Mus musculus: one gene and its partners. The protein of the gene in region 5 interacts with the protein of the main gene of each other region in a biochemical or structural test. Links are inferred from orthologs where the notes say so. Each region holds a gene or a part of one and is shown on either strand. Other genes may lie near its edges. The genes, in order: Sh2b3, Fer, Hck, Nrg1, Erbb3, Abl2 and Nck1.

What was found.
Region 1: the proteins of Erbb3 (region 5) and Sh2b3 form a complex in vitro, tested with the Homo sapiens proteins (2 studies listed by BioGRID and IntAct, with this or other methods). The link is inferred for Mus musculus from reciprocal best matches to the Homo sapiens genes ERBB3 and SH2B3.
Region 2: the proteins of Erbb3 (region 5) and Fer form a complex in vitro, tested with the Homo sapiens proteins (2 studies listed by BioGRID and IntAct, with this or other methods). The link is inferred for Mus musculus from reciprocal best matches to the Homo sapiens genes ERBB3 and FER.
Region 3: the proteins of Erbb3 (region 5) and Hck form a complex in vitro, tested with the Homo sapiens proteins (2 studies listed by BioGRID and IntAct, with this or other methods). The link is inferred for Mus musculus from reciprocal best matches to the Homo sapiens genes ERBB3 and HCK.
Region 4: the proteins of Erbb3 (region 5) and Nrg1 form a complex in vitro, tested with the Homo sapiens proteins (8 studies listed by BioGRID and IntAct, with this or other methods). The link is inferred for Mus musculus from reciprocal best matches to the Homo sapiens genes ERBB3 and NRG1.
Region 6: the proteins of Erbb3 (region 5) and Abl2 form a complex in vitro, tested with the Homo sapiens proteins (2 studies listed by BioGRID and IntAct, with this or other methods). The link is inferred for Mus musculus from reciprocal best matches to the Homo sapiens genes ERBB3 and ABL2.
Region 7: the proteins of Erbb3 (region 5) and Nck1 form a complex in vitro, tested with the Homo sapiens proteins (2 studies listed by BioGRID and IntAct, with this or other methods). The link is inferred for Mus musculus from reciprocal best matches to the Homo sapiens genes ERBB3 and NCK1.

The regions. Positions count from the first base shown.
Region 1 is NC_000071.6:121,833,934-121,838,343, reverse strand, and holds the start of Sh2b3 (SH2B adapter protein 3), read left to right. Parts: upstream 1-1,484; 5' UTR 1,485-1,794; exon of another isoform or gene 1,795-1,927; intron 1,928-2,084; exon of another isoform or gene 2,085-2,124; intron 2,125-2,239; exon of another isoform or gene 2,240-3,520; intron 3,521-4,410. UniProt on the Homo sapiens protein: Links T-cell receptor activation signal to phospholipase C-gamma-1, GRB2 and phosphatidylinositol 3-kinase.
Region 2 is NC_000083.6:64,136,253-64,140,181, forward strand, and holds the end of Fer (tyrosine-protein kinase Fer), read left to right. Parts: intron 1-1,457; coding exon 1,458-1,580; intron 1,581-2,622; coding exon 2,623-2,765; 3' UTR 2,766-3,244; downstream 3,245-3,929. UniProt on the Homo sapiens protein: Tyrosine-protein kinase that acts downstream of cell surface receptors for growth factors and plays a role in the regulation of the actin cytoskeleton, microtubule assembly, lamellipodia formation, cell adhesion, cell migration and chemotaxis.
Region 3 is NC_000068.7:153,135,906-153,139,834, reverse strand, and holds part of Hck (tyrosine-protein kinase HCK), read right to left. Parts: intron 3,138-3,929; coding exon 2,958-3,137; intron 1,574-2,957; coding exon 1,497-1,573; intron 1-1,496. UniProt on the Homo sapiens protein: Non-receptor tyrosine-protein kinase found in hematopoietic cells that transmits signals from cell surface receptors and plays an important role in the regulation of innate immune responses, including neutrophil, monocyte, macrophage and mast cell functions, phagocytosis, cell survival and proliferation, cell adhesion and migration.
Region 4 is NC_000074.6:31,915,930-31,920,432, reverse strand, and holds the start of Nrg1 (pro-neuregulin-1, membrane-bound isoform), read left to right. Parts: upstream 1-1,589; 5' UTR 1,590-2,229; coding exon 2,230-2,896; intron 2,897-2,930; exon of another isoform or gene 2,931-3,644; intron 3,645-4,503. UniProt on the Homo sapiens protein: Direct ligand for ERBB3 and ERBB4 tyrosine kinase receptors. Concomitantly recruits ERBB1 and ERBB2 coreceptors, resulting in ligand-stimulated tyrosine phosphorylation and activation of the ERBB receptors.
Region 5 is NC_000076.6:128,586,516-128,590,953, reverse strand, and holds the start of Erbb3 (receptor tyrosine-protein kinase erbB-3 precursor), read left to right. Parts: upstream 1-1,318; 5' UTR 1,319-1,452; coding exon 1,453-1,534; intron 1,535-4,438. UniProt on the Homo sapiens protein: Tyrosine-protein kinase that plays an essential role as cell surface receptor for neuregulins.
Region 6 is NC_000067.6:156,624,552-156,628,480, forward strand, and holds part of Abl2 (tyrosine-protein kinase ABL2), read left to right. Parts: intron 1-736; coding exon 737-1,032; intron 1,033-3,929. UniProt on the Homo sapiens protein: Non-receptor tyrosine-protein kinase that plays an ABL1-overlapping role in key processes linked to cell growth and survival such as cytoskeleton remodeling in response to extracellular stimuli, cell motility and adhesion and receptor endocytosis.
Region 7 is NC_000075.6:100,507,960-100,511,888, reverse strand, and holds part of Nck1 (cytoplasmic protein NCK1), read left to right. Parts: intron 1-3,216; 5' UTR 3,217-3,234; coding exon 3,235-3,460; intron 3,461-3,929. UniProt on the Homo sapiens protein: Adapter protein which associates with tyrosine-phosphorylated growth factor receptors, such as KDR and PDGFRB, or their cellular substrates. Maintains low levels of EIF2S1 phosphorylation by promoting its dephosphorylation by PP1.

The DNA of each region.
Region 1 (4,410 bases), on a different chromosome or scaffold from region 5:
TACTTTTCTAACAAGGCACTTTAGAGCCTCTGCATTTGGCGCTGCATTGACTGGGATTGCCTTCCCCCCTCATCATGTGGGAGATCGCAGCTTAAATATTACTCAAAGATTTCTCTTCCTGTGTCCCAAAGACAACTCCACAACGGAGCTGTCACCGATGCTGTCTCCCAACCAGAGTGGCGCCCCCACGAGGGAATCACTAACTGATGTCCACAAACACCTTATAGTGCCTAAGACATTGCCTTGGCTCGTTTTTTGGGGGTGGGTGGGTGGGGGCTTCTTCCAAGCCATTTTGCTACCAGGCTCCAGCTTGCTGCCGTCCGATTGTAGTGGAAATCCCCACCTACGGGGGAGTCCCTTCTTCGGGCTCCAACAGCAGGCCCGGGGACTGAATTCAGCCCGGTTGGTTAGGCTGCTCTAATGTGAGCAACTCACTTCTTCCAGTCCCTGAGTGGGCTGGAGACACGTGTTATTTCCATTTCATAGATGAAAAAACTGAGTTGGAGGGGGTCAAATATTTGGTCCCACGCAGCAAGGGGAAGGCTCCAGGGAGCCAGCGGCTCGTGGGAGCCTGTCGTCTGGGAAGGCTTGCAGTGGCCCCTCCAAGCTGGGGGCGTGGGCGGCCTGCTTCCTGTTGGGGGAGGGGGAGGGGACAGGCATTCCTCTTTCCCCTCCCTCCGTAGAGTCGCGGGGAAGACTGGCGTGCAGTGAGTGACTCCACTTCAGAACAGGGGCACCCCACTGTTAGCCAATGTGGCGATAGAGAAAAGGTAAAGGGCTAAGGGGCGCGCAGGCGTGGACGTTCAAAGGGCTCGGCTGCCTGGGATGCGAAGGAGCTCTTGGAGAAAGTTTCATCAAGCTAGAGAATGCGGCCGGGCGGCCAGGTAGAGAACAGCCTACTCGGCCCGTTCCGGGACTCCGAGGACCTTAGGAGGGGAGCGGACTTCAAATGGATGGCGCCGCGGAGGCAGGACGGCTCGGCGGAGTCATGGATAGTGGGGCCAGGGTGGGGCTGGCCCCTTCCCCTGGAGGTGATGAAAACCGCGGTCGCAGTTGCTAGACCCGGCCGGGCAAGCTCAGATAAGGTTGGGCTTGGAGGGAGTCCGCAGGGGCGCGCCCCTAGGAGGTCCCGAAGGTCGGGGCAGCCACGCCCATCGCGCGCCTAGCCCCGCCCCACCCCTTCTAGGGGCCCCGCCTTGCCGAGGCACGCGGTGACTGGCCAGCGCGAGAGGGGCGGGACCGAGCACGCTCCTCCCCTTCGAGATTCTTTATTTTATTATTATTTTTTTTCCCTTCTTTAGGGGGCGCGACGCAACTTGGGTGCAGAGAGCGCGCCTTATGGGGGCGGAGCTTGTCGCTATGCTACCTCCCACCGGGCAGCGGGCGGAGGCGCGAGAGGAGGGCGGGGCCGGGATAGGCTCCGCCCCCGGCCTCCGCAGGCGGCCCCGGGGCGTGGCTCTCTGTGGCCACGCCCCCAGGCCGCCCTCCGCCGCCGCGCGCGGCTCGCGGCTGGTTCCTCTTTACATAACGGCGTGGGGCGGCATGGGCTCGGGCCGTCGCCTCCGCCTGGCCGCTCTCCAGCCCAGACTGTCACGGGCCACACGGGGTCCACATCGGCGGCGGCAGCAGCAGCAGCGTCCTGGGGACGGCCCGAGGCCGCGTCCCCCGGCTGCTGTCAGGAGCTGGCGGCGGAAATGAGGCGCTGGCCGTTTTCCGAGCCGGGGTTTCCTGCCTGAGCGCCGAGAGGCCGTGCGACGCCATGGGCCGGCCGGGCCCCGACCCGCAGCTTGCGCGGTAAGCGCGGCCCGCCGAGCGTGTTGGAGGAACTGGGCCGGGCGGCCGTCCCCGGGTCCCGCTTCTGTTTTCTGGCGTTTCCTCATTCTGTTTCTCTTCCCCAATCCCAGACCGCAGTGATGTGGGCGCGGAGGTCAGTGCTTTCAGCTGGGGCCTCCGGAGAGGAGCCTGGCGGGGCGCCGCGGGAGGAACCGAGAGCTGTCCCGGCACACAGCGTGCTTGGGCCCCTGCCGGGGGGGGGGGTGTGCTGGCGGTGAGGGTGGGAGGGGGGGACACGTGTGTCACTAGTGCCCCGGTGATCAACCAAGGATGATATGCGGAGTCCTAAAGGTGAAATCAGCCAGAGATGGGGGAAGGGGGTGGGACAGGCCATGACAGGCCAGGGCCCGCTGGGGGAAGTTGAGGTTATAAGAGTTTTATGCTCTTAGGACACTTTCTGAACCTTGTTCCCCAGGCCTCCTCTGGGAGGAAACGCCATCTGAGCCAGGAGGGGTGAATACATTCTGGAACTTGTGCAGTCCCAATGGGTGGTCAGCTGGGAAGGGGCTGGCCCGCAGCAGCGGCAGCAGCTGTGGTTTGGGGATCTCAAGGGCTGGGCAGTGACAAGAGAGGAAACCGAGGGTCCTAGAGGCAGAACTTGTGTTCTTTCTCCTCTGCTCTCCAAGATGAGGGTCGCGACCTCAGTTTCCCCGCTGTTCAGTGAGTGAGAAGAGATTTGTGGTGCAGTTACAATGAGGTGGAGTTTTAATGAATGCTGTGTGGAAGGCACCTGCGTCCGGCTGGGAGAAGGGCTCAGTTACAGGCCGTTGGGAGAAGACCTCAGTTACAGGCCGTTGGTTTTCAGACTGTCCAGTTTTATTGACCCTGGCCCTGGGACCGTCCTCGGCTCTCTCCTGAGCATAGCTGCTCTGGGGTTTCCCGAGTCTGTGGGCAGGGAACTCTGAAGGACCCTGGGCAGGGTCAGATGACAAACCCCTTCCTGGCCTGGGTTCCCTCAGTTGACACCTAACTTGTGAGGGCCACCAGAGCACAGGATGGCTTGATCAGGAGGGCAGGCAGTCATGACAAGGGTGTTATCTGTTTTGTTGAGGTCATTTGCTGCTCCTCTTCCTTCCTGACTCTCTGGCACCAAATGTCACCCAGTGCCTGGTCCTCATCGTTCAAAATGTTCTTAGAGAAGTGACGGTCCTTTCCTTTGAGTAGCTGGGCTGTGCCATCAGCTTGTGTGCCTCAGGCTGTCTAGGCTAGTTGGGCCACCATCTGGTTTCTCCCACTTCTGCGATAGAGCTGAAGGTGCTTGGGAGCCCCTTCCGGCTGCCTGGGCCTGTATCACACCCTTTCCAGAGCAGGTCTCTGGGGGTCCAGCCCACATTGTGAGGCTAGTCAGCTGCTGAATGTCCCATTGCTGTGACTCTTTGGGTGGGCACTTCTGTGAGGCAATGAAAAAGTCATCAAGAGCGGGAAGGGTTTTAACTGCTGGCACGAGGAGATGGGACAGATAGTACTGTTAAAACTAAAACGAGAGGTCTTTCCTTTCAAGTCCTCATTTCTCCCTGGAGCAGCACTTGTGTGGAGACTAATCCAGACTCTGCTAGCTTCAGGGGTGAGGCCCTGGGCAAGTTACCTGACATCTCTTGGGACCTGCCCAGTGTCAGCCAAGTCTTGTGCCTCTCTAGGTGGTTGTGCACTATGTAGGAGCCCAACAAGGAGAAGACATTTGAAGCAGGTAGGCAGTAACTGGCCTGACTCTGAGATCTTAGGCTTGGGTTGTGCTGTCTCAGAGTTACAGGTGTTCTTGGAAGTCTGAAGTGGAGGTGCTGAAGGACAGAGTCGGGGAGAGGCATGCAGTATTGGCATGTTAGTGCTCAATAAATTTAAGCTATTGCTATTAATCCATTGCTATTAATCCAGGAGTGGCTGGCCCTTAATTGCCAGGTTTCCTGGGAAAACGGTCCCCAGGGCCCCTTGGGTGTTGAGCATCTCTGGTTGGGCAGAGCAGGAAGCAGCTTCCATCTGGAGTTTCTGGAGGGGCTGCTCCTTCCTGCCAGGCCTGTTCCCGGCCACCCACCCTCCCCGAGGAAACTGAGGCTGGCACACCGCTTAGGGGAAATGACTCAGTGGGGGTCACTAGCTGAGTCATACCTAGTTGGACCCAGGAGCCTTGCACCCCAGCTTCCAGCTTCCGGGGGCTTGAGGTCCTTCAGGGACCGGGTACACCTCAGGCCTGGTTGCATGCCCTTGGGCACTGTTAGACACCACCTGCTTGCGCCCCATGATCTGGACAACCTGTGTCTCTTGGTCAGTGATCTAGGGATCTCAGTGACGCCCCCGCCCCCACCTCCTGCATTGAGCTCTCCAGCCCAGTACCATTCTCATTGGGACAAGAGACAAGTCCCTAAGGGACCTGATGGCCTGCCCCGCCCTGGCCAGCCGGAAACCCCAGCAGCTGAGCAGATGGCTGAAAGATTTTTCCTCCCACACAACCCTGTCAAGGGTCGGCAGGGGGGCCAGCCCCCTGGCTTCCTTGTGAGCCAGTCCTGGAGCCCCTTGGGGCCTGTCCGGATGTGCCCCCCCTAGCTGCTGGGGGGGGTGCAGCTTGGTCTCCAGGGAGGCCTG
Region 2 (3,929 bases), on a different chromosome or scaffold from region 5:
AAATGTAAGTCTACATAACTTAAGTTCTTCCCAAAATTAGCCTTAACCTTTAGCCACCAAATGAGTTTCATGAAAAGACCTGATGTGTAGAGAAGAAAAGTAATTTTCCTAAGCCAGCAGCACTGGCAATGTCCGTAATTACCTCCTAGCTCAGCCGGAAGCTGATTTCCACAGCTGCGGTGGATAATGAGTGTGTGCTGCAGGCTGAGGACTGCACCCCAGCACAGGCAGACTCTCGGCCATTTTACTCTCTTCCAGAATGGAAGAGGCCATTCTGTTTTAGAGGAACATGACCATTTTCTAGGAGTGTCATTTACAAATCCTGGGGTAGCAGATGGATAGGAAATGCTATGGTTCAAGAGACCTTCATGCTATGTGTGGTGACATATGCCTGTAACCCAGCACTGGAGAGGCAGAGGTAGGAGGGTCTGGAGATAAAGGCCAATCTATATCATATACACATAGACCTGTGTGTGTGTGTGTGTGTGTGTGTGTGTGTGTTTCACTTCAAAAACAAAATGCCATCAACATTACTGCAGGTGGGGTTTAGTTGTGACAGTGTGTATGTGCCATGTGTTAGACTGGGAGGGACGTTTCTGCTGCTTCTCCCTGATTTCCTATCCATCCCCACAAGGCTTCCTGGGTAGGATTTTATCTCTGTGCTTCTGCTGAAAGCGACCAAAAACATTCCTAAGAGTTCAGCTTATGTAGCTCAATAAAACAGGTGCACCAAGATATTTTGACAAAACAAGACACCATGTAATTTGAAGAACTTGTTTTTATCAGCCAGCTATGTTAATTTCCAGTCTATTCAGACCACATGGAGAAATGTATTTTCTGCAAATGAAACTATCGGTAGAGAAAATGAGACCTTTAAGCATGTAAAACTATCTACAAACAGTGATGAGTAAAACATTGAAGTTAAGAAACTTTCCTTAATGCTTTAAGTTTGTTATTTTACTGGAAAGAAAATGACACAGACAGAAGACCAAACTGTAGGAATCTGACTTATTTAATCTCCTAGGCATTGATATGTGCAAGTGTGTGTGTTTTTGTGTATATATGTATATGTATATATACATATATGTGTATATACATATATGTGTGTATAAATGTGTATATATACACATATGTGTGTCTGTACACACACACCATCCTCATCCACATATCACAGGGGACATAAGCCTGCATGCTGGCTGAATTCTTGTTCTTGGGGAAGGGAAGACATTTTGTAGCTCATTTAGTTGAACTAGCCTCCTGAAGACTTCACTTGATTGTTACCATTACTAGCCCTGGCATTAAGGCGAGTACTGAGAACCGAGAACGGGATGTTGCTGTGGTGTCCTATGGAAGCCTGACTGTGCTGTGTGGAGGCTGACGAGCTGACACGCGTAGCCAGAGCCACTGTCTTCTCATCCCATTCACTCACCGGGTTATCATTATCTCCTCCCTTTCAGGGAGATACAGTTCTGAAAGTGACGTGTGGAGCTTCGGCATCCTCCTCTGGGAGACCTTCAGCCTAGGAGTCTGCCCGTACCCTGGAATGACAAACCAGCAAGCGCGAGAGCAAGTGGAGAGAGGTGAGCCAAGGCCTTAGTGCTTCACGTCGGAGTCCACCAGGCCAGTGGTGCCCGCACACTGGCTTTGGGAGAAGAATCACAGTGCTGTTTAAGACACAGTAAGGAGGAAAGATGTTAGAGAAGTCTGTTTTGGAATACTATGGATGCTACGGCTCCTACAGAACAGAAGCAAACATTTGCAAGCCTGTCTGACCTGTGGCCCTTAGGTAGCTTCCAGCTAAGCATAGCTGTGAACATGGCAACACAACTGTAAATGTATTTGAAGCATTCTTGGTTCTGTTTGTTTTTTGGGTGTTTGGTTTTGTAATTTGTTTCCTAACGTAATTGCACAGTTCTTGAGTGTGAACTGTGTACATAGCAGTCGTGCCGCTGTATCACAGTAAGTAAAGGCCAGGTGCTCTCAGCACGGGGAGAGAGAAAGAAGGTAGACTGCCTTAGAGAGGTGTTAAATTCCACATCAGATAAGTCCCTTAATTCTCCAAGTGAAAATGCTTCTAGTTTCCAGAAGGAATTCCAAGAAGCTGTGATGTAAAGAAACACCAGGGTGCTCCAGACAGAGGCGGGGTGACAAGATGGCAGTAGCACCCACACATGCTTGTGTGGGACACAGCTTCCAACAAGAGGGATGTTGTTCAGATGACTGCCTGAGTGTGGGGGTGGCCCGCCTTCCTTCCCTGAACCCACACCTCCTAGCACAAGCCCCAATGCTGCTAGACACCAGCCTGTTCTCAGCTCACTGTTGAATGTGTGTATAAACCCCAGCCACGCCTGCCCTGTCTGTTTGATCATTATGGAAGCTACTTCTTAGAACAACTAAAATAGGCTTTTATATATGCTAGGCCTACTTCTGACTTGCTGACAGGTACGTGGCTCTGTAGCTGTGTGCTCTGCGCCACCCACATGTGCGAGCTCGCCAGCGCGTTTACGACACTGGCGCAGGTCTTTGCTCTCTACCCCACTCACTGCATAAGGGACAAACATTCACACAGCATGATGCCCTTACCCCCTTTCTGAGCTCTCAACTCTTCTCTTGCATCTTCAGGATACCGGATGTCAGCCCCACAGAACTGTCCAGAGGAGGTTTTTACAATCATGATGAAGTGTTGGGATTACAAGCCTGAAAACCGCCCTAAGTTCAACGACCTTCACAAAGAGCTCACTGTCATCAAGAAGATGATCACATAGTGCCAGCCAGGGCTGGATGCCACCTGTAGGACTCTGTCCTCAGTCACCCCCACTTTATACCACCTTACTGCAACCATCTTTGAAGGTTATGTTTTTTTATTAACTGGGTTTTTAAAGTATGTTCCACTTTAAACTATGTTAAAGGCAAATCTATTCAAGAAATAAATAGTCCTACCCAGAGCCGTATTAGCTAACCACAGCAACCCTGCCATTTGATACCGCTGTAAAGAGAAAAGCACAGGACTAATGGTAAAGGCCAAAGAAAAAGGCCTGCCTTTAATACCTAGGTCCATTGGTGATCTCCAAGGTTTTCTACTCTAGGCACAGCCTGTGGGCTGCTGTCTTCTGCCACAGGCCCTCCTCGGTTGGTGCTATAAACAGCCTTGGTAGCGCATGCTTGCAGGACACGTGCCCACCACAGTTGCTCTCCACTCTGCCAAGGCGAGATTATATCTATAAATATAATCATATATTGGGAATCATTTGGACTTCCTAGGGTTTCTCTTTCTTTTCTGTCAGAACAAGCCCGGTGAGAACATCACACTGCCGTGTCATTTTGTCTTTTACTTCCCCAGTCCAGGCTACAGAAAATGGTGCACAGAAAATTTCCAGAGAGTTCAGGGCACAGAGGCAGCAGCTTCTGCAGGACACTGCAGAGGACAAGGATGACAGGAAGCATGTGTGGGCAGCTAGCCAGTGTTCACCAGGGAGAAGAAAGCAAGAGTGCCTGCCTTCCTCCCAGACGTACGCCTTCAGAATACCCTATATCTGGGTCTCAATTCCCTAACAAGGTCTAAGAAATGTTCAGGAGTTCATAGAGCCCAGTGGAAACGTTCTTAGATACTAGCGTCCACAGGAAGAGCAGCATGGTTCTGATTGTGTGTCTTCATCCTAGGAGACAATCCCAGAATGAAAGTCCCTCTACTTGTACCAGTTTCTGGGTCTTCAGAATCCATGATGCATGGTTACAAACACATCCACATATATCTACTGAAGTGCAGGGCTGCTGTGAATGAAATGGACAGGCCAGATGTCAAGTCAGCATTGATGATGAAAATCTCTAGGGACACCCACACCTCTATCTCCTCTTTTCCACTAAAGCCACTCCCTGGAAATCTTACTGATAATGCACAGGTATACAGCACAGCATTAAAGTGTCGCCCG
Region 3 (3,929 bases), on a different chromosome or scaffold from region 5:
AGCCAGGGCCCTGGGGGGAGGTGGTGGGCCTTTAAGAGAGCCCTTCCTTTAATGCCTGTGGTCTCATCTACAAGTAAACTGCATAAAGCCAGTGGTGTTTGCCATTGTCATTATTGTGGGAGCCACCCCCTCCCTCTAATCAGCCCTGCAGCTTAGGCCAGCTGCAGAGCCTCCCTGGGCTCAGTTTCCTCATCTGAACTTCACTTTTTTTTTTTTTTTTTTTTTTTTTAATGACACACTCTGCAGCTCAAGTCTAGCCTGGCCCTCCTGATCTTCCCTCTGCTTCCTGACTGTTACGATTTCAGTCATTCACCATTGTGCGCAGTTTGTACTTAAATTCTTCATACCTCGATTTCAGGTCTGTAGGACGACGGAATGACAATTACCTTCCTACATTTGCCTGCCAGGACTCTGGGCTTGGCTGCTGTGACTGACTTTGGCCAATAGGGCATTGATAAGTCAGTGCAAACAGAGGCTTACCCACTGCTTGCACCTTGGACAGGTCCCACTTGGAGCTCTGATACTGGGCTGTGAAGAAATACTGAGTGCTGAGAGGCTACACAGGGAGAAGTTGTAAGAATGAACGTCACCTTGGACATGCTCCTCACGCCACCTCAGTGCATAGAGTGCTCCATCTAGCCTGCTATAGTCAGTCCAGAGAATCATGGGAAATATTCAGTGTTATCATTTCAGGCTACTAAGCCTTTATCTGTTACATAAGAATGGATGACTTACATGGATGGTGACGTAGCTCAAATGTAGTCCTTCTTTGGCATGTACAAGGCCCCAGGTTCCATTCCTCACACCAAAAATCAACAAACAAAATTATTCCAGAATCTGGAGAGATGGCTCAGTGGTTAAGAGCACTGGCTGCTCTTCCAGAGGTCCTGGATTCAGTCCTAGCACCCACATGGTGGCTCACAAGCACCTATAACTATAGCTCTAGAGAATCTGGCACCCTCCTCTGACATCTGAGGGCAGCAGACATTCATGTAGTACAGACTCATAGACAGGCAAAAGACCCATATAATAAAATAATTAACCTGTTATGAAAAATTCCGTAGTTTTGATGTCAGCACTGTATGAGTTGGTTCATATGAAGAACAGTCTGTATCCATGGGTTCTGCATCTGCACGCAACCAACCGCACAGCAAGAATATTCTAAATCAAATGCTGTCTATAGACTTTAAGTGGTCATTATCTCTTATACAATACGAAATAATAACTGTTTACATAGCATTTGTGTTAGATTCCATAGGCCAGCTAGAGATGCTTTAAGTAGCATGCAGGGGAATGTGCCTAGGGAAAATAGTATATTTACAGTAAATATACTATTTTCTATAAGGGACTTTAGCATACAGAAGTCTTTGAGTACTTGGAGTACTGTGACTAGTCCTTGTGTGTGGGGAGCATGAGTATTCACATGAAAGACACAGAGAACACAAATGACGTCACCTTTCCTGTCACCTCTCCTGACTATCGCTGGCACAACTCACCTGGGCTGAGAAGTCAATGAGTTTTGGCAGTGGCTGCTTGCTGCCTTCTTCACTCTTGAGAAAGTCCAGCAGGCTTCCTGCAGAGGGGAGTGAGAAGGAACATGGACTACTGCTCCTTAGTGAGAAATAAGTAACAGTTTTTCATAGCAATAGAGATCTTTCCTCTTTGCAGTACAGGGACTGAACCCAGAGCCTCACACATGCTAGGCAAGCACTGAGTTACATCTCCAGCTAACCACCTCCTCCTCCTCCTTTCTCTTGTTCGTTTTTTGAGACAAAGCTTCTCTGTGTCATTCTGGCTGTCCTGAAAGTAGATTTGTAGACCAGCCTGGCCAGCCTTGAACTCACAAAGAGATCTGCCTGCCTCTGCCTCTCAAGTTCTGTGATTAAAGGCAAGCCAGGTATGACTTTCTTCTTGAGATAGTGCCTTGTTATATTGTTCAGACTGGTCTCCGATTCCCAGGCTCCAGCTATTTTTCCACTTTAGCTAGTAGATTAGTCTTGACTCCCAGCATTTATCCCCGCCCAGCTGCAGTGCTAGTTAAAGACACATCTACTTACTGCTTCTAGTGTCTGAGTGCTAGAGCTTGAATTTTTCTGAAAGGACTTTTTAGTTGCTTACTAACTCTTTGGTTGATGCGGCCCCATGGACCTGGGTGTCCAGGGCTTTGCTTTAGAAAGCTGGGTGGTTGTAGATTTGTAAAGTAGACTTGAAAAGTAGAAAAAGCTTTGAGTTTTCAAGTCACATTGGATGTTGTTGTATGAGATGTTTATCCAGAAATGACCAGGGACTGAAAATGACTATAAACCAGCTGTTCTAAAACTAACTAACTAACTAACTAACTAACTCTGAGAAGCCGGGTGTGGAGACACACATCTGTAATCCCAGCACTTGAGAGGCTGAGGCAGGACAGCTACGAGATTGAGGCTAGCCTGGGCTACATAATGAGTGCCAGGACAACCTGGGCTACAGAGTGGAATCCTTTCTCAAACATTCTTGAAATATGCTGAATAATCCCAGGATACAGTGGCCCAAAGCTAAGTAGCCTGAAGTGACAACACGGACATTGTCATGATTCTGTGGGTTGGTCATAGCAGGACCAACCACACTGTGAAGTGAGGTGACACAGGTGGAACATTCAAGATGAAGTGGCACCTTTATGGTCTTTCTCCATGTGGCTTCTTGTCCCTTAGAACTTGGAGCAAGACTTCTTTACAGCCCAGCACTGAGGTTCCCAGGTACGAGTCACAAGGAAGCCATGTGATTCCTCTGTCGCCCAGAGGCTCTGCAGCCCCTGCCCCTCCTCTCCACCGAGCTCCCTTCACAGGATTGCACTCTGCCAGCCAGGAGGCTGGAGTGTAGATGCTCTATGAGGTGGCTGTGCCAGAAGAGCCACGCCAAGGCCATCTTGGAGACTGAAAGGAGTCAGCTTGGCCCACACTCTATCCCTGCCCACGCACCTTTGGCCATGAACTCCGTGACAATAAAGATGGGCTCCTGAGAGACCACAGCGTGTAGCTTCACCAGTTTGTCATGCTGCAGCGACTTCATCAGGTTGGCCTCAGCCAGGAAGGCCTCCACGGACATGCTCCCTGGCTTCATTGTCTTCACCGCCACTTTGGTGTGCTTGTTGTAGGTGGCTGGGGAAAGCATGGAGCACGGAGGGTGGTTAGGACCCAGCAGCCCTGGAGGAGCCCTCCCTGCCCATCTTAAGCCTTTAAGACAGAGAGAGAGGCCTGGACACCGGTTCCCTGCCTAGCTGAGTACAACTGAAATACCTACCTTCTCTGGGCTGTCTTCCTCACCCACTAAGTGGAAGGGATAAACTCTCACTGAAGGGCTATTTGCAAGACTTATAAAATCCTCCAGTCTGGGCTTGGGGCACATGCCTGTCATTCTAGACACTTGTCACTCTCAAGACAGTGAAGTAGGAGGACTGGAGGCTCCGGGCCAGCCCATGACTCAGAAGACAAGAGTTGAGACTGGTGCTCAATGGCACAGAACTTGCTTAACGCATACAGGATACTGAGTTTAATCCCTGGGTAGTAACCCTTAAGCCACCAGTTAGACTGCAACATGAGCCTGCATAGCATGTAAGCTTAACGCTGCCTTGAAACAATTACCAGATTCATTATGCCCCATAGGCTCTGCTTGGCCTGATCACACCTACTTTTCTGTCCTTGTCATCCACCAAGGTCACCTCCAACACATGCTCAAACTAGAGACTGAACCAGGGTCTCATACTAGGAAAATGCTCTACCACTGAGCTATATCCCAGCCCCCTTCTCACGTTTTATTTTGAAGCAGGGTCTTACTAAGTTGTTCAGGTTGGCCTTGAACTTGAGTCCTCCTGTCCCAATATATAGCTGGGATGGTAGGCATATATCACTAGGCCTGACTCAATAAATTCACTCTTACTTTCTTTTAAAAAA
Region 4 (4,503 bases), on a different chromosome or scaffold from region 5:
GCCTGTCACTGCCCTGGGTCTGCATGGGATGACGATGTTGTCTGGATTTCGAGAGAGTTTGTAAGAGTTCCCCTATGGACACAGTTCCTTGGAAGTCATTTGGTTCCTTGGAAGAGTGGCTTAAATGTTCAGATGCACAGACAGACACTGGAACACCACGGAATGTTCCCTGGAGCCTGTGCTCTCTCTTACAGTGAGTTTCTTCCATTTCTTCCAGTACTTCAAGTCCTGTTTCTAAACAAACAAACAAACAAACAAACAAACAAAAATCAGCATGGAAGCTATCTGTAAATCACAGTTTCTGAAACCTAATCCACAAGGCACGCTCTGATTGAAAATTCTCAATACTGGCAGTGCGATTATAGCTGAGGAGATGTGGTGTGTATTACAGTGCCCAGGGAATTCAAGCCTCCTCTGCAGTGTGGAGTCAACATGAAAGGCTAATTTGAAAATGAAGCGGTAGATAGCGTAAGTGTTCCTCTTAGGTTGACATTATTCTAGCTTACTCTGGATGGAATAAGGAGGACTCAAATGTAAAGAGCAGGAAGACACTCGGGACTTTTCCCCTTCCCCCACCCCCCCTCACACCCCGCCCCGCCCCCGCACACACTCAGCATTTCGCTCTGAGCATTGAAAAAGTCTTTAGCCACAAGAAGGTGGCTGAAGGAAGAAGGCAGAGCTGTCCATGGTTTAGAAACAGTGCTCTAACTGCTGGTTGAAAACCGGGTAATAAGAGTCCTGTTAGTGAACAAAACTTATTAGAGAACTGGCTACGGAAGGAAGGAATGCCGCTGAACAGCAGGCAGGAAGAAATTGCTGTTGAAAAGCCTACCTCTCTGGGGAGGAGTCAGAGATCAGACTTTGCCAAGCCTCAGGTCTAACCCAGAAGGTCCCCACCTCCACCCCCCACCCCATCCCCCTCCATCCCAGCTTTGTTAGATTGCTAGCATCATCGATCCCTGGCTTTTTCTGACCCCACAGTGGGTGAAGAGGAGAGAGCCAGCAAGACTGAAAGCAAGCAAGGTGGAGTGTGGGATGGGAGACTGGGGCCTGCTTTGGTAGAGGGAAATTAGAAGGGGGGGGGGGGGAGGAGGCCGGGGGAGACCCAGTTTAGCTGGTTCCCGGCTGCTTCTCTTTTCTCTGGCCTTTATTCCTTGTAATTGGATAAAATAGGAACTCACTGGCGGACCTGCGTTGCTGGGTATACTGTACTTATTAGAGACCAGCTAGCAGTAGAGTGGGGACTGGGGGTGCGGGGCACAGGGGAGGGAGGGAGGGAGGGAGGGAGGGAGGGAGAGGGAGAGAGAGAGAGAGAGAGAGAGAGAGAGAGAGAGAGAGAGAGAGAGAGAGAGAGAGAGAGAGAGAGAGAGAGAGAGAGAGAGAGAGAGAGAGAGAGAGAGAATATATCTTTAGGAGGAGGAGGAGGGAAGAAGAGAAAGAAGCTATGAAGAAGGAAGATTGCAGAGGAAAAAGTGACTGAGCGCAAGAAGGACAAAGAGGAGTGGTTGGGGGTGGGGGTGGAGGCAGGGCGGGGAAGGGAGTTACCGCCCCTCCTGGCTCCTCCTGCCCTCGCATCCTTGTGCAATGGTACTGTTTGCCGTGATGCTCAGAGGGCAGGCACCTGCTGCTCTGTAATGATTCAGCCTCTTTCAGCCGCTGCGTTAACACGACAGGATGCTGTTGCTACTGTCGCTGCTGCCCCTCCTGCCGCCGCCGCTGCTGCTGCCGCCGCCTCCTCTGGTCTTGCTTTTGCTTTTACTTCTCCTGCATGACAGTTGTTTTCTTCCTCTAAGCAGACACCAGCTTCAGACGCTTGAGGTGAGAAACATGCCTTTCAGTTTGGGATACTGGTTTACTTAATCAGCTAGGCATCAGCTTGCTTCCTCTTTTGGTCCCCTGCCTTCTTGAACCAACCGGGATGGTTTGGAGAAGCCTTTGAAAGAACTGAAAAAGTGTCCCAGAAACAACAGCTCAAGATATTTCGGTACACTTCTATTTCATAGTTGCTAGAAGCCCTTCCTTTTTCGTTTCTTTTTCTTTTTTTTTTTTTCCTTTTTTTTTTTTTTTATCTTTTTCTTGCTTCCTCTTAAGCTCTCTTACTTTGGATAATGGCCTTGGACTTGGGTGCCTTATCGATTTCCCCCTTCAAGATGCTGTATCATTTGGTTGGGGGGAGCTCTGCATGGTAATGCACTGTGAGAGAGGCCGGGCCTTCTGGAGGTGATCCGGATGGAGATTTATCCCCCAGACATGTCTGAGGGAGCTGGCGGGAGGTCCTCCAGCCCCTCCACTCAGCTGAGTGCAGACCCATCTCTCGATGGGCTTCCGGCAGCGGAACATATGCCAGACACCCACACAGAAGATGGGAGAAGCCCTGGACTCCTGGGCCTGGCCGTGCCCTGCTGTGTCTGCCTGGAAGCGGAGCGTCTCAGAGGGTGCCTCAACTCCGAGAAGATCTGCATTGTTCCCATTCTGGCTTGTCTAGTAAGCCTCTGCCTCTGCATTGCTGGCCTAAAGTGGGTATTTGTGGACAAGATATTCGAATACGACTCTCCTACCCACCTTGACCCTGGGGGGTTAGGCCAGGACCCTGTTATTTCTCTGGATCCAACGGCTGCCTCCGCTGTTCTGGTCTCATCCGAGGCATACACTTCACCTGTCTCTAAGGCTCAGTCTGAAGCCGAGGCTCATGTTACAGGGCAAGGTGACCATGTCGCTGTGGCCTCTGAACCTTCCGCAGTACCCACCCGGAAGAACCGGCTGTCTGCTTTTCCTCCCTTACACTCCACTCCACCGCCCTTCCCTTCTCCAGCTCGGACCCCTGAGGTGAGAACACCCAAGTCAGGAACTCAGCCACAAACAACAGAAACTAATCTGCAAACTGCTCCTAAACTTTGTAAGTAGTGAGAGAAAGAAAGGCGATGGTGGCTTAAAAGAAAGGGTGGGAGGGAACTTCCAGAAGGCAAACTCTAGAGGGTTAGCTTTTTCCTTTGAGTTTGCATTTTAACCGGGAGGTTTTATTTGGTGAATCACGTGACAGGGAAAAAAAAACAAAATAAAGCAATTTTATAAACTCCTAGGATGAATCAGGTCTTTTAACAGCAACTCCATGTAGCCAGGTTGTTAAGTCTGAGGTTGTCAATTAAGAACTACAAGCATCTTTGAAGTTGGGCTTTGGATGTAAGCTAAGGTCAATTGATTTGCTATAGTTTTAGAAGTTAATATCTGACTGTCCTTCATATTTTAATAGGCATGTAACGTCGGTGTGCCAATAAGTATTATTTGGTATTGCGCCTGCCATTCAGTAGAGTTTCTTTCGACTTTCTTCTTCCCATTCTGTTTCCCCGGAGCCCCAAGCTGCCTGTCATCTTTCTCCAGCTCTTCTTCCTGCCTCTTTAGTACATCTCTGCACGTCTGAATTGTCATTGTTTGATTCTGATACTGCAGCAAGTCTGAAAGACACAGTCCTCCCTCTGCTGTCCTCAGACCTGTGCCGTACATACATTTGGTTACTGAGAACTGACCAGAGGCAGTTTGTATTTTGTTCAAGACAGACTGCAGTTTTCCACAGAAGGATTTTCCTAAATGAGTTTTGTCTTCTGTAATCAAGCATTTAAGTACATTCCTGCCCAGTCGTTAACAAGGTACCTCTTTCTTTTTTTTGAACGTGTGTCATTTAACCCCATCTTGTTGCCAAAGCCTGGCTTAATAACTTGTGTGGGAAAAGACTCCACGCTATTAAAACAATCCAGAATGAAACACTGGTGTGTGCAGAGGTCATTGCCTTAGCTTTATGATGGAAAGTTGACAGCCATGAGATGATGACTAGCCAGATTGTCCCAAATGTCAGCACTGAGCTGGGTCTTTTGGTTACAATATTTAAAGAAATGTTTTTAGTGTTTTCAGTTCCTGTCTTTCCCACTCTTTCTTATTACCATCGATGAGTTTACTTAGTAGGAAAAAAAACCCCTAAGATATGAGAGAATTTGATTCTCAACAATGCATGTGAAACACTTTAGTGTTAGAAGGAGCTGAGGGTAGAGAGTTTATAATAAAGCGCCTCTTCAGTTTTCCCTCTAGACCGTAAGGAAGAGTAAATAAGACCTCCTCCATGCAGTGCTGTTTAGAATGAAGTTGTGCACTATGCTAGGGAAACTCAGGAAAAAAAAAAACAAACAAACTTGATATGTGCACTCCATTCAAGGTTGTTTGACATCTTCCAGCTTCAGTGTAAAGACTTCAAAAGGATGCCTGCGTTTCGTTTCCAGGTGTAATTGGGAGAGCCTCCTGTATGCAGATACCACTTTGCATCTTCCATCAAATCCCTAAAGCATCATTAAAAATCTGACAGACTCTCTGCCTTTGCCGCCTCTCCCCACCTGGCAAAGTGACCGGGAAATAATCCCCAGATGAAATGATGGGCTATAAAAAGCAAGTGCAGTTCCTGCAGAGAGGCAGCATTCTCCACGCAGGCCGACAAGGTTACCTCTTTGTCTTTATTGT
Region 5 (4,438 bases):
ACCCCGGTAAAAGTGGAAAGCGATAATCGACTCCCCCAAAGTTGTCTTCCAGCTTCCATACGCATATCATAGCGCGAACGATCATACACACAGGAATGATAACAAATTTTTTTAAAAATTGTAGCAGGAGAGCCGGATATGGTGGCGCACATCTGTACTTGGGAGGTGGAAGCCAACAGTCTCAGCCATATAATATATTCGAGGCCAGCCTGAGCTATATGAACTATATGAGACCTTGTCTCAAAACCAAAAAATAAACAAAAGAGAAGAAAGGAGTGTAGCTGATAGCCTTAGCCTAGGGGGAGGGGACCATAAATTCTCAGGGCAAAATCTTGGAATGCCAATGTAAGGGATGCGAAATGTAAGGAGTTGGGCACCAGGGGGCGCCAGTCGGACCCGTCCGGGACGAAGCAACCCAGGGTCCCGGGGGTCATGTGCGGTGACTTCCCCGCGCCCCTCTTCGCTGTCGCCTCCGGGGTGAGCGTTGCTGTGCCCTTTGGGGTCCGCGGAGGAGAGGCGGGAACCGCGGCCGTCCGGACGGCGCGGTCGGTCCCTCAGAGACAGCTGTTCTCTCGGGAGGCCGTGGGGGGCAGCAGAGGGGACGGCGACAGGTGCGGGAGCCCCTCCCCGGGCAGAAGTGGGAAGGCGGACTCCGGGGTCTGTTCCCAGGCTGGAAACCGCCCCCGCCCCCCAGGCAAATCCCCCCGAGAGGCCGAGCCGGCGCCGGGTCTGCAGGAGGAAGCGGCCGGAGACAGTGCGATTTCACGCAGCCTCCGGGGCTCGGGTTCCCGAGCTGGGTACATGAGTTACGGGGCTTTGCGTCCCGGGGAAACTGAGGTGGCATGAACGCTAGGCTGAAAAACAACCTCCCACTCGAAAAAATAGAAATACTCACACTCCGAAAGAAAAAAAAAATCCCTCAAGTGATCCAACCGGCTAGGGGAGTTGAGTGATTTGGTTAATGGGCGAGGCCAGCTTTCTGGGGGCTGGGCTTCGGAGCGCTCTCCCTACGCGCATTCACTACCTTTCCCCCGCCTGGGGACGTTTGGAATCTTGATCTCCTCTTAACCATCTCCGGGGGAAATTGCTGGAGTGAGACCCCTCCTTGACCCTCTTGGCCAAGCTGTGGGCTGGCGGGGCACGCTTGGGCGGGTGTCTCGGGCTACAACCATCAGGACTCCAGCCTCGCACGGGAGGGGGCGCGGCCGTGACTCACCCCTTTCCCCCTTCACTCCCTCCCTCCCTCCCTTCCTCCCTCCCTCCCAGACAGACACCCTCCCCTGCCGTCCCGCTCCGGACTCCGACTACGGCTCCGGTTGCAGTTTGCAACCTCCGCTGCCGCCGCGGCCACCTAATCGCTGGCTGTTCAGGTGGCTGTCGCCTGGATGTCCTCCTAATCTTGGGGGCCCCGGGCCAGACTCGGCTGGGCTCCCTTCACCCTCCACTGTAATCATGAGTGCGATTGGGACTCTGCAGGTGCTGGGTTTCCTTCTCAGCCTGGCCCGGGGTTCCGAGATGGGCAACTCTCAGGCAGGTAAGCCGCGCGGGAGCCCCAGCAGGCTGGAAGCTGGGGGCGCAATCTGAGCGCTCGCAGACCCTGGGCAAGGAGTTTGGGTTCTGACGCTTTGAACTGGGGGGTGCGGTACAGGGTCTGCTCGGACCACCAAGGAGGGGACCGTGTGCCTCAGTTCTTGGAGTGGGCTGGTCAGGGACTGCATTCCTGTATGCCTACCCTTATTCCCAGGGCGTCGCCGACCCTCTAATTGGTTTTATTCTGATCTGGTTGGTGCCGAACAGTAGTTCACACTTGAGAGTCTTGGGAGGAGGGTGGGCAGGGACCCTTCTGTAAACGTAAGGAGCCTTGGCTTGAAAGGGTCTCCGTTTGCTCTCAGGTTCCCTGGCCCCCACCCCATTCCAGGTTTCAACAACCCCCAGTTTCGTTGTTTTGCCGACAGGGCGGGGCTATGCAAGGGTTTGAAGTTGTTGTTTTCTAATGTTGGAAAAACAAGAATGGCACCTCCTCTTCCGTGAGTGGGGCTGTCCTGAGAAGGCTGAGATTAACCTGAGGGCCAAGTCCAGGTGACATCAGTGAGAGGTCTCACAGAGGCTGACTGCCTGCTTTCCCATAAGATAAACCGGTCCCCAACTTAACCAACTTCTCTTTATCAAGACCCAGGTTAATTCAGTGAACATGTTGGGCATCTATTACATACTATACTATTTCCAGGTTATATACCCTAAGCTGGAGCTCTGGAAGAAAGGACAATCAGACCTCTTTCTCTCTCCAATCTAAGGCCACCTCTCCCACCTTCTGAACATTCTACTCTGTGAACTGGCTCCTAGACCCAACTTCTGCCCTTCCCCCATTCAATGCCATCTGAGCCTGTTCCGTGTCTCTGGGACTATGGACACTTGAAGAGCACTAGAATTGGTATCATTAGAGTCCTGTTGATCTTTCCCCTTTCCCAGATCCCCAGATCTCAGTTTGGGGTTGGCACATTCATTGCCCCTTCCCCAGAGTGGGAGTGGGAGAAACCACCTGTGCTTCCCCCACAGTTGCTGGGCCTAAATTTAGCCCCTGGGATCTTGAGATGTGAACACTCCCAGCTGGTGGAGGGGGTGGTCTGGAGACTGAAGTGGGAGGGGCCAGGGGAGTGACTGGATCACTGTCCCATCTGACTGTGCCCCCACCAACCAGGAACCCAAGAGTCCAAGATTCCCACCACCCTCCTCAAGAGGCAGGGAGCAGGCATGTTTAGTTCTCTATCCTTTATCTCCATCCTGAGCCTCTGGGCATCCGGCCCTGTCTCAAGCCTTGTATAGCCCCTTTGTCCCCTTGTGTGTGTGGCTGGGGCTTCTGAGGGCTGGAGGTTCTTGGTCTGCGCAGTCAATGCTCTCCACAGAGAAAGGTTCTGACTTTGAGCCTTTGCTCCTCTGTGAGTGTGGTCCACCCCACACCCACCCGCAGTTCTCGCTGCTTCCTGTGCGCCCCAAGTTGCCTGGTTCCTCCTGGGTAGTTGTTTATACTCCCGTCCTACCCAGGCCCTTTGCCCCTGTTTGTGAAATGTGGACTTTACCCTAAGGGTGGCAGGTAACCGAGACAGACCTGTAGGGCCTTGCAAAGCACAAGACACAAAGTGTGCAAGGCATTGTGGGCAGGTGGGATGGACTGGACACTTGTAAAACTTCCCAACTCGGGGCCCCAGGGGCAAACAATATATATTTCTGCACCAGAGTAACTGTGTACGTGTTTGTGTGCCAGCATGCACGCACAGGTACACATCATTTCCCTATGCAGATATCTTAGCTCCTCCCCTATCTGAGGAGAAGGGTTGGCACCTTAACTTGGAAGAGGGGTGTCCTGCCAGGAAGGGGACAGGGGTGGGGCACTTCCAGAAATGACTAACCTTCCCAGGCGTTTATTTCACCCCAAGGACCCTGGAGCTCCCAGATTTCTCTAGGAGAGTCTAGCTTGTTTATGCCTCCTTGCTGGAACTGGCCCACTCCTTCCATCATATGAAGAAAGGATAAGGAAGAGGATCTAGAAGAAGGGGTCAGACCAGACATAGATCTAACAGGAGAAGCTGAGGCCTCTGACTCGCTCTCTGCCTCCTGCCCCGCCTCAGGGAAGGGTGGTTAGAACAGGTGGTTGGTGGTGTACCCCTTACCCCCACCCTCCCCACGTGCTCTTACTGCGCCAGAGGAAAGATACTTAGAGCTCCAGGGAGGAAAGTGAAAGCCCAAGAACTGAAATGTACTGTACTGGCCTCTCTTTTGGGCTCTCTCCCCTGGAGTGTCTATTGGGGAGCACTGCCATGTTAGCAGTCTCTTTAAAGAATCCTTCTGGCAGTGAAATTGGGAAGAAGGCTTGGGAGTGGAGGCTCTGTTCTGCTTCTCTCCAGACCTCTCTGTTTGGTGAAAAGCACTTCGGGACTGCACAGGGATGCCTGCTGCCGGGGGAGCTGGAGCATGCTGGCTTAGGGGAAGGGAGTGAGAAGGGAAACCAGAGTTTAGGAGAGGGGAGGCCACCAGTTCCTTATCATCCAGCTTTAAAGACAAAGCTCCCATTGACCCCACCTCCCCACCCCACTACCAGGGTTTCTCCCTCCAGTGAGGTCACTTTTCTGAGGCCAAAGCTCCAGGGTGAGAGGGGGGTGCTGCTAAGGATGGGGTGTCTGAGGCAGGGTGGGGCAGCCCCCTCCTCCTGGATAGAATTGCTTCATTGTGGGCTGAACTGTGGCCCCAGGCACTGCCCCCACCCTCTGCCCCCATCCCACCCTCTGTAGACACAATAGGGGCTGTGTGCTAGCCCCAAAGAGATGTTTATTCCAGGGCCTAGAGAGAGGCAGGATGGGGGCAGAGAAGTAAGTGCCTCCGTTGAGGAGGAGAGGGTAAATGTTCCCTGCCTAAAGAGTGTCCTTTCCAGGGAGAGGGAAAG
Region 6 (3,929 bases), on a different chromosome or scaffold from region 5:
GGTCTTGGGAGGTGTTTGCTTATATTGATGGCTTTGTTGCTTTGGTATCATCTGAAAATTTAAGTAACTTTGTATTTCACATGATGTCCTGTTCATTAACAATGAATAATTATGTATGTATGTGTGTGTGTGTGTGTGTGTGTGTGTGTATCTGTTTTAAGTGAAAGTAAAATGTGTTGTTTTTTTGAGGAGTAAGTACTGCTCAAGTGTTAGTACATGTCTGTAGTCCAGCATTCAGGAGACTGAATTAGGATCACGAGTCTGAGGCGAGCCAGTCTAGACTAAGTGAGACTCACATAAAAGGAAAAGGGTGGGCAGGTGGGCTGGGCTGAAGGCTCAGTAGTTAGCGTTTAGTGCTTTTTCAGAGGCCTGGAGTTCAGTTTTCAGTACCCATGTTGGGTACCTCACAACTGCCTGTTACTCCAGTTCCAGTGACCCCAACCCCTCTTTGGGGGACACACACAGACACTCAGTCACTGTCATTTTCTATCTATTTGAGTAAATTCTGTATTCTAATTTAATACAATTCATCGTTTCTGGAAGACTTTTTAAGTGATATGTAATCCTTCAGAAACCATTCTTTTGTTAAGCTGCTCAGAGTAGAGATCAGTCAGGATGTTAGTAAGCAAGAACCCAAGTCCTTGGTTCACTTTTCAGTGATTTGCAGTTTGACACTACACTGCTGCAGTCTGACAGTCCTAACATGCCTTTCTTTCTGTGATGACTTGATGGCTAGGTGAAAAGCTGCGAGTCCTTGGTTATAACCAGAATGGCGAGTGGAGTGAAGTTCGCTCCAAGAATGGACAGGGTTGGGTGCCAAGCAACTACATCACTCCAGTTAATAGCCTGGAGAAACATTCCTGGTACCACGGACCTGTATCCCGCAGCGCAGCAGAGTATCTCCTCAGCAGCCTAATCAATGGCAGCTTCCTGGTTCGAGAGAGTGAGAGCAGCCCTGGGCAGCTGTCCATCTCTCTCAGGTATGAGGGACGTGTGTATCACTACAGGATCAATACCACCACAGACAGCAAGGTAAGACCTGTTCATGTGGACTGGCTCTTCAGTAGGAAGGGAAAAAATAGAAAATAATTTTTATATCTGATATAAAATAAAGTATTGCCTAACCTGGTGAGTTTGGGCTATTTAGCATATTAGAGCTTGCTTATTTCAAAACAACTCAAAAAACAGTTAAAAGCTGTAGATAAGCCGGGTGTGGTGGCGCACGCCTTTGATCCCAGCACTCGGGGGAGGCAGAGGCAGGCGGATTTCTGAGTACTAGGCCAGCCTGGTCTACAAAGTGAGTTCCAGGACAGCCAGGGCTACACAGAGAAACCCTGTCTCAAAAAACCAACCAAACAAACAAAAAAAAGTTGTAGATAATTAAGGGTAAGTCATATTTGAAGTTGAGGATTGAAGAGATTTACACAGGTTAGCTGTTTTAATCATCAGCATAAACGCACACCAAGTGCATAGAGAAGACGTTAGAAGTCAACCACAAGCCTGTGGAAGGAGACTCCGGTCCACTAGAGAGGTCACAGAGTGAGAGGGTGTTGGAGGCTGCTGTTCTCATCACTGTGTGCTAATGGCAATAGATGAATTGCCCAGCCAGTCTGCGTAGAGTGAATGTGTTACACAGATTCTTTAGGGCCGCAGAGACCTGGGTTTGATTTACAGTACCACATGGTGACTCCCAACCATCGGAAACCCCAATTCTGGGAGATCCAGTGCTCTCTTCTGACCTCCATGGGCACCAGGTATATGTGTGGTGCACAAACATGTGGGTAAAACACCCATACATATAAAATAATAATAGTAATTACATTTTAAAACAAAATCAAACATAAATTATAAGTTCCCAACTTAAACCAGTTGTTCTATTGAATGGTTCGTGAAGTTGAGCCCCCTTTCCTCCCTCAGTAGGACGGACAAAGTGGGAGGGGCATGTGGACAAAGTGGGAGGGGCATGCGGCCTTAGAGCAGGCAGAACTGCTGTGCTTTGTACCTCACCATCATTTATTAGCTGTGAGACTTTCCTTAAGTCTCAGTTTGGGTGGTGGGGGTGGGGGTGGGGGTGGTGGTGGTGGTGGTGGTGGTGGTGGTGGTGGTGGTGGTGGTAGTGGTGCTGACTTAGATCGGATCTCTCTGTGTACTGGAACTTGCCATATAGACCATACATACAGATATGAGCTTGTAGCAACTGTCCTGCCTGTCTGAATTCAGAGTGTATGATTATAGTGTGCACCACCATACCTCCTCCCTTTGCCCTCATTGACTTTTGATTTATATTAATGATGTATCTAGAATATGTTGTGTGTTCCTATGGGCTGGTTTGTGCATATGGGTGTAATACTCACACAGGCCAAAAGAGGGCTTTGGAATCCCCAGAACTGGAATGGGTGCTGGAGAAATCTCTCTTCAAGAGAATTGAACTGCAGGGCGTGGTGGCACATGCCTTTAATCGCAGCACTCGGGAGGCAAAGACTGGTGGATTTCTGAGTTCAAGAACAGCCAGGGCTACACAGAGAAACGGGGGGGGGGGGGGGGTTGTGGAGAAAAAAGAAAGAAAAGAGAATTGAACCACTAAGTGATGTCAGTCTCCTCCTTGTCTGTTATTAAGTCATTTTGTGAGATTATTGTAAGGATTAAATGAAACAGTTTTTGTAAAGTATGAAGAAAGAAAAGAGAATTGAACCACTAAGTGATGTCAGTCTCCTCCTTGTCTGTTATTAAGTCATTTTGTGAGATTATTGTAAGGATTAAATGAAACAGTTTTTGTAAAGTATGAGAGCTGATTCAGCACAGGAAATATTTTATTAGTTCTCTTTTCTTTTCTTCTCTCTCTCTCTCTCTCTCTCTCTCTCCCCCCTTTAACCATTATATAAGTATATTGTTTGTGGCCCAAGTGAGTGGTATCAGAGTAATTAATATAAGAAGAAATGCGGGCTGGGTGTGGTGGTGCACTTTTTTAATCCCAGCACTCAGGAGGCAGAGGCAGGTGGATTTCTGAGTTCGAGGCCAGCCTGGTCTACAAAGTGAGTTCCAGGACAGCCAGGGCTACACAGAGAAACCCTGTCTTGAAAAACCAAAAAAAAGAAGAAGAAATGCAGCCATTATTAGTTGTTTTGCTTTTGTTTGTCTCTGTGACAAATATCACAGAGAAACGGTGAAGAAACAGGTAATTTTCACTCCTGGCTTCAAAGAGTTCAGTCTACTATCAATGGTTCTATTCCCTGTAGGCTGTGGCCAGGCAGACCACCATGGTGGGGTCATGTGGCGTGTGGTAGAGCAGAGCTACTCCCTCCATAGCAGAGAAAGGGAGCAGAAGCAGCAGCAGCTGACTGACTGAGCCCATGAGCTCTTCAGCATGAGTCTGTGGGGGACACTTACATCTGCTCTCTAACACATGCACAACAAAAACGAGCGCACAGATGTGTCAGACCATGCAAGGACATTAATTCACAGCAACAGTGTTTATGATAGCCTCACAATCGAAGTACCAAGTAGCATAATTGACTAATAAATTATGATATATTGTTAAGATAGAATCTCCTACAGAAACAGAAATAAACACGATGCTATAGACACAAGTCCGTCCTACCAGCTGTCTATCCATTTCTGAATTTTCTGAAGCTACTTTGTATTTCTAAGCAGACCTGAGTAGTTGCTATAGGAACCCTATATAGCCCCAAGTCTAAGATGCCTGTTTTTCATCCCTGTTCAGAGAATTTTTCTACCGTCTCCTATAGATGAGTTTCGTACGCATAAAGTTGACCAATAGATTAGTATTTGCCAGAGAATTGTGTGGAGAGGAGTGTGGGCGTGATCCCTAACAGCTCTAAGTAACTGTGCTGGAGTTAGACAGTGGTGGTTAGCGAGCCTTGTAAATGTCCTGAAAGCTATTGAATTGTATAGCTTAAAATATAGCATGT
Region 7 (3,929 bases), on a different chromosome or scaffold from region 5:
GGCTGGCATCTGCAGTTGTTTGTTTGTTTGTTTGTTTGTTTTTAAATCAGTTCTGGCTCATTTCCAAGCAACGGTCTTTCTACTTTCTGTCAGTTTCATCCTCCAGCTGATAAAATAGTTCCGGTCTCATCCTGAAACAATTTCTTTTTGTTTCTCAAAAGCCGTTCACCTTTTCTCTGAAGGCTCTTTTCCTTTCATTTAATTGGCCTTAAAAGTTCAGTAAGTGAATCTGATATCCTGATGGGGCTTTGATTAATCCAGTTGCTTGAAGCTAAAGTTAGTCTCCCAAGTTATATTGCTAAAAATAACAATAGGTTCTAATAGAAGGATAATCCAAGTATGCTCCAAACAGGAGACATTAAATTCTGGAATATATAGTTTGTCAGCAAATAATATTTTTCCAAATATTCATTATTAATTTTACACACTTTTCTAGAAAAAAATTCAAGACAGTTGTCAAGTATCAAAATAAAGTCCATTAAGCTTTTATAAATTAGGTGTGGTGTATAAGGGAGAAGCCATAGTTCTTTAGCCTATCTTTGAAAAATATCCCTGCTTCTAGTTTTCCAGTGTTTCAGAAAGCTGGCTGCTCATTGTAAAATCAATCAAAATCTCTCTCTCTCTCTGTCTCTGTCTCTGTCTCTGTCTGTCTGTATGTCAGAGGTTGAGTTGACAACTACATGCCTTCTTTAATAGCTCTCTACCTTATATTTAAGAATTTAAGAAAAGGTTTCTCACTGAACCTAGCTAGACTGCTAGATGGGCTGGCATTAAATTCTGGAATGCTACCTCCTAGGAATTTTCTGTGCCCAACTCTGGGATTACAGTTGTGTGCTGCTACATCTGGCATTCTTAGGTATCAAATTCTTCCCCTGGTTTGCATAGCAGGCACATTAGCACCTCCTCAGCTTTTATTCTAACTTAAATCACAACATATGTCAGTAATAATTTAGATTCTTTGTGCGTAAGTAATTTCAGACCGTCAAGTTGCAGTAATACAAGTAGCGTCCCCTCACTCCCTCCCCCAAATTTCTCTGCTCATCTATGTTTTTCTCATGATGGCTATCAAACCCTTGAGGCCTTGTGCATTCTGGGCAAGAATACTACCACTGATACTACCACCTTCCTAGTTCATCAGTGTTTCTTATACACCATGTTGTCTCTTTTTCTTCTTTTTAAAAGCATTTTTGTTGACTTAAGTGATTCCCTTACAAAGCATAAAACAATGTGTGGCAGATTTTGAGGCTTTTGCAAATCCTTTGTCTGTATCTATCTTGTTGACATACTTAGCAAAAGGATGTTGAATTCTGGATTAAAGTACTTACTTCATTGTTGAGAAAACTGACATGGTAGTCAATACCCAAAATAAAAGGCTGAATTTATTTGCTTGCTTCATGAGGCATATCTGCTTTTATGAAACAATCTCTCTGAAGAAAGCAGAGTGAGATCAAGTCTAAACTTACGTTTCAGGACAGTGTTTGCATATATATATATATATATATTTTAAAATAATGCATATAAGTTAGGCAGTGGTGGCTCATGCCTTTAATCCCTGCACTCAGAAGGCAGAGGCAGGTAGATCTATGGCATCGAAGCCAGCCTGGCCTACAAGAGTGAGTTCCGGGATAGCCAGGGCTACACAGAGAAACAGTGCCTCAAAATACAAAACAAACCAACAATTCAACTAACTCATTCAATTATATTTTTTTATTTTTCATAGAGTTTGATCATTGTATTTTATTGTCCTCAGATTTATTTATAAAGTTGTTTGTGTTACTATTCCCTTTGACTGTTTGCAGTATACAGTTGCGGTTCCTAGTATTTGCATGTTCTTTTTCTTTTTCTTAATATTTCCAGAATTGTCATTTTAATTAGAGAGGGGCTTAGAGATTTAACTCCTGAGTGTTAAGTGGCTATGGCTAACAGCCCCAACTTTAACTAAACATCTCCTTCATAAATTCTTTTGCCAGTTACATGAAAGTTTAAAATAATTTTTAAGCCAGTTTATAAAGTAATGGGCTTCATTATTCCAGTTTAAATATTTATTTTTAATATTTTTAATTTATTTGGTGTGTGTGTGTGTAAGAGAGAGAAAGAGAGATAAAGAGGAGAGAAGAGATGGAGTTACAAGGGGTTGTTAAAATGGGTTGCTAGTTGCCTGAGGTAGGGAGTCGGAACCAAATCTTGGTTCTCTGGAAGAGTGGGAAGTACTTTTAATAGCTGAGCCATTGCTCCTGCCTTTATTACTTCATTTTTCATACACATTTATCCGTTATACTTGGTTCTCAGTCCAGAGAACACTATAAAAGGAGAGAGATGTTTTTGAGATCTGAAATGTTGTCTAGGCCTCAGAGTTGTGATGCTGCTGCCTCAGCCTCCAGGCGCTGAGCTTACGGCTAAGACTTTGTTTAGCCTCAGACTGATGGTTTTTATGTGTTCCATATATGTTCTTTTGTTTAGAAGTAACATTTTATATAGGCCGATTATATCTCACTAATACAGTGTTATTTATAACCTTGATGCTTTTGTCTCCTTGATTGTTTTGTTAATTGAGATAAATATGTTAAAAATTATCCCTTATAATAATGAATCTGTTATTTTCTCCTGTAGTTATACCAATATATTTTAATTTTGTACTTTATAACTTATATGGGAAGACAAAAGTGTTCAGAAAGCATCTGTTATTTGTTGTATACAAGTTTGATTTTATCTACTTTAAGAGGAATGTTCAGTTGTCTGTGTAGTGAATTTCATTGCTAACGGTGGTTTTAAATGTAAGTTAGTTTATATAATACCAAATAGGAACAAGTGTTTTTTAAAAATTAGTACTTGCCTGTTAGCATTTTTCATATCACTTTTAACTTTTTGATACTCTTAAATTTATTTCTTTTTTATAGTATTGGGAATTGAGCTCAAAGCTGTGCACGGGCTAGGAGTATCTACTACTGAACTGCATAGTGCCCCGCCCATCTCCTGTTTTGTATATTAGTTTTGAGACAGGGTTTTACTCTGTAGCTTATTCTAGCTTCAAACTTAGTATGTAGCCAAGGCTAGCCTCAGCCTTATGAAAGTCCTCTTGCCTCAGCCTTTTGAGTGTTAGGTTTGCTGGTATGAGTCATAATTCCTGGCCTCTTAAATGTTTAAGCATGTCTTTTTGGACAAGCATGTAGACAATTACACTTCAGCACCATTTAAAACATGTTCTATGTGTTACAGTGTTGACGCTGCTGAAAGATGGCTGAAGAAGTGGTGGTGGTGGCCAAATTTGATTATGTGGCACAGCAGGAACAAGAGCTGGATATCAAGAAGAATGAGCGATTATGGCTCCTGGATGACTCTAAATCCTGGTGGCGAGTTCGAAATTCCATGAATAAAACAGGTTTTGTCCCTTCTAACTATGTGGAAAGAAAAAACAGTGCTCGGAAAGCATCTATTGTTAAAAACCTGAAGGACACCTTAGGTAAGTTGTTTCTTATTGAAGGAGAAGCAACAGCTTTCATTTTAGATCTTAGTTTTGGCTTTTTTTTTTTTTTTTTTTTTTTAGATTTATTTATTTTATGTATATAAGTACCAGAAGAGGGCATCAGACCCCATTACAGGTGGTTGTGAGCTACCATGTGGTTGCTGGGAATTGAGCTCAGGACCTCTGGAAGAGCAGTCAGTACTCTTAACTTCTGAGCCATCTCTCCAGCCCAACTTTGACCTTGTTACAACAGCTCCTGTGGAGTTTTGATTTGCAGAAAGTTTGCCACTAGTTGAGAAAGGAAAAGAATGCCTGGCGTTCAGACTTGGTTCCTTTGTATCCTGTTAACCTATGTTATGTGGCACATTATTGAACCTTTTTGACACGCTAATGAATCTCACTTAAAAAACAAATCACTTTATTTTATTCTAACTGAAGAGAGTTTTATACCAGTGGGTTATTGCTG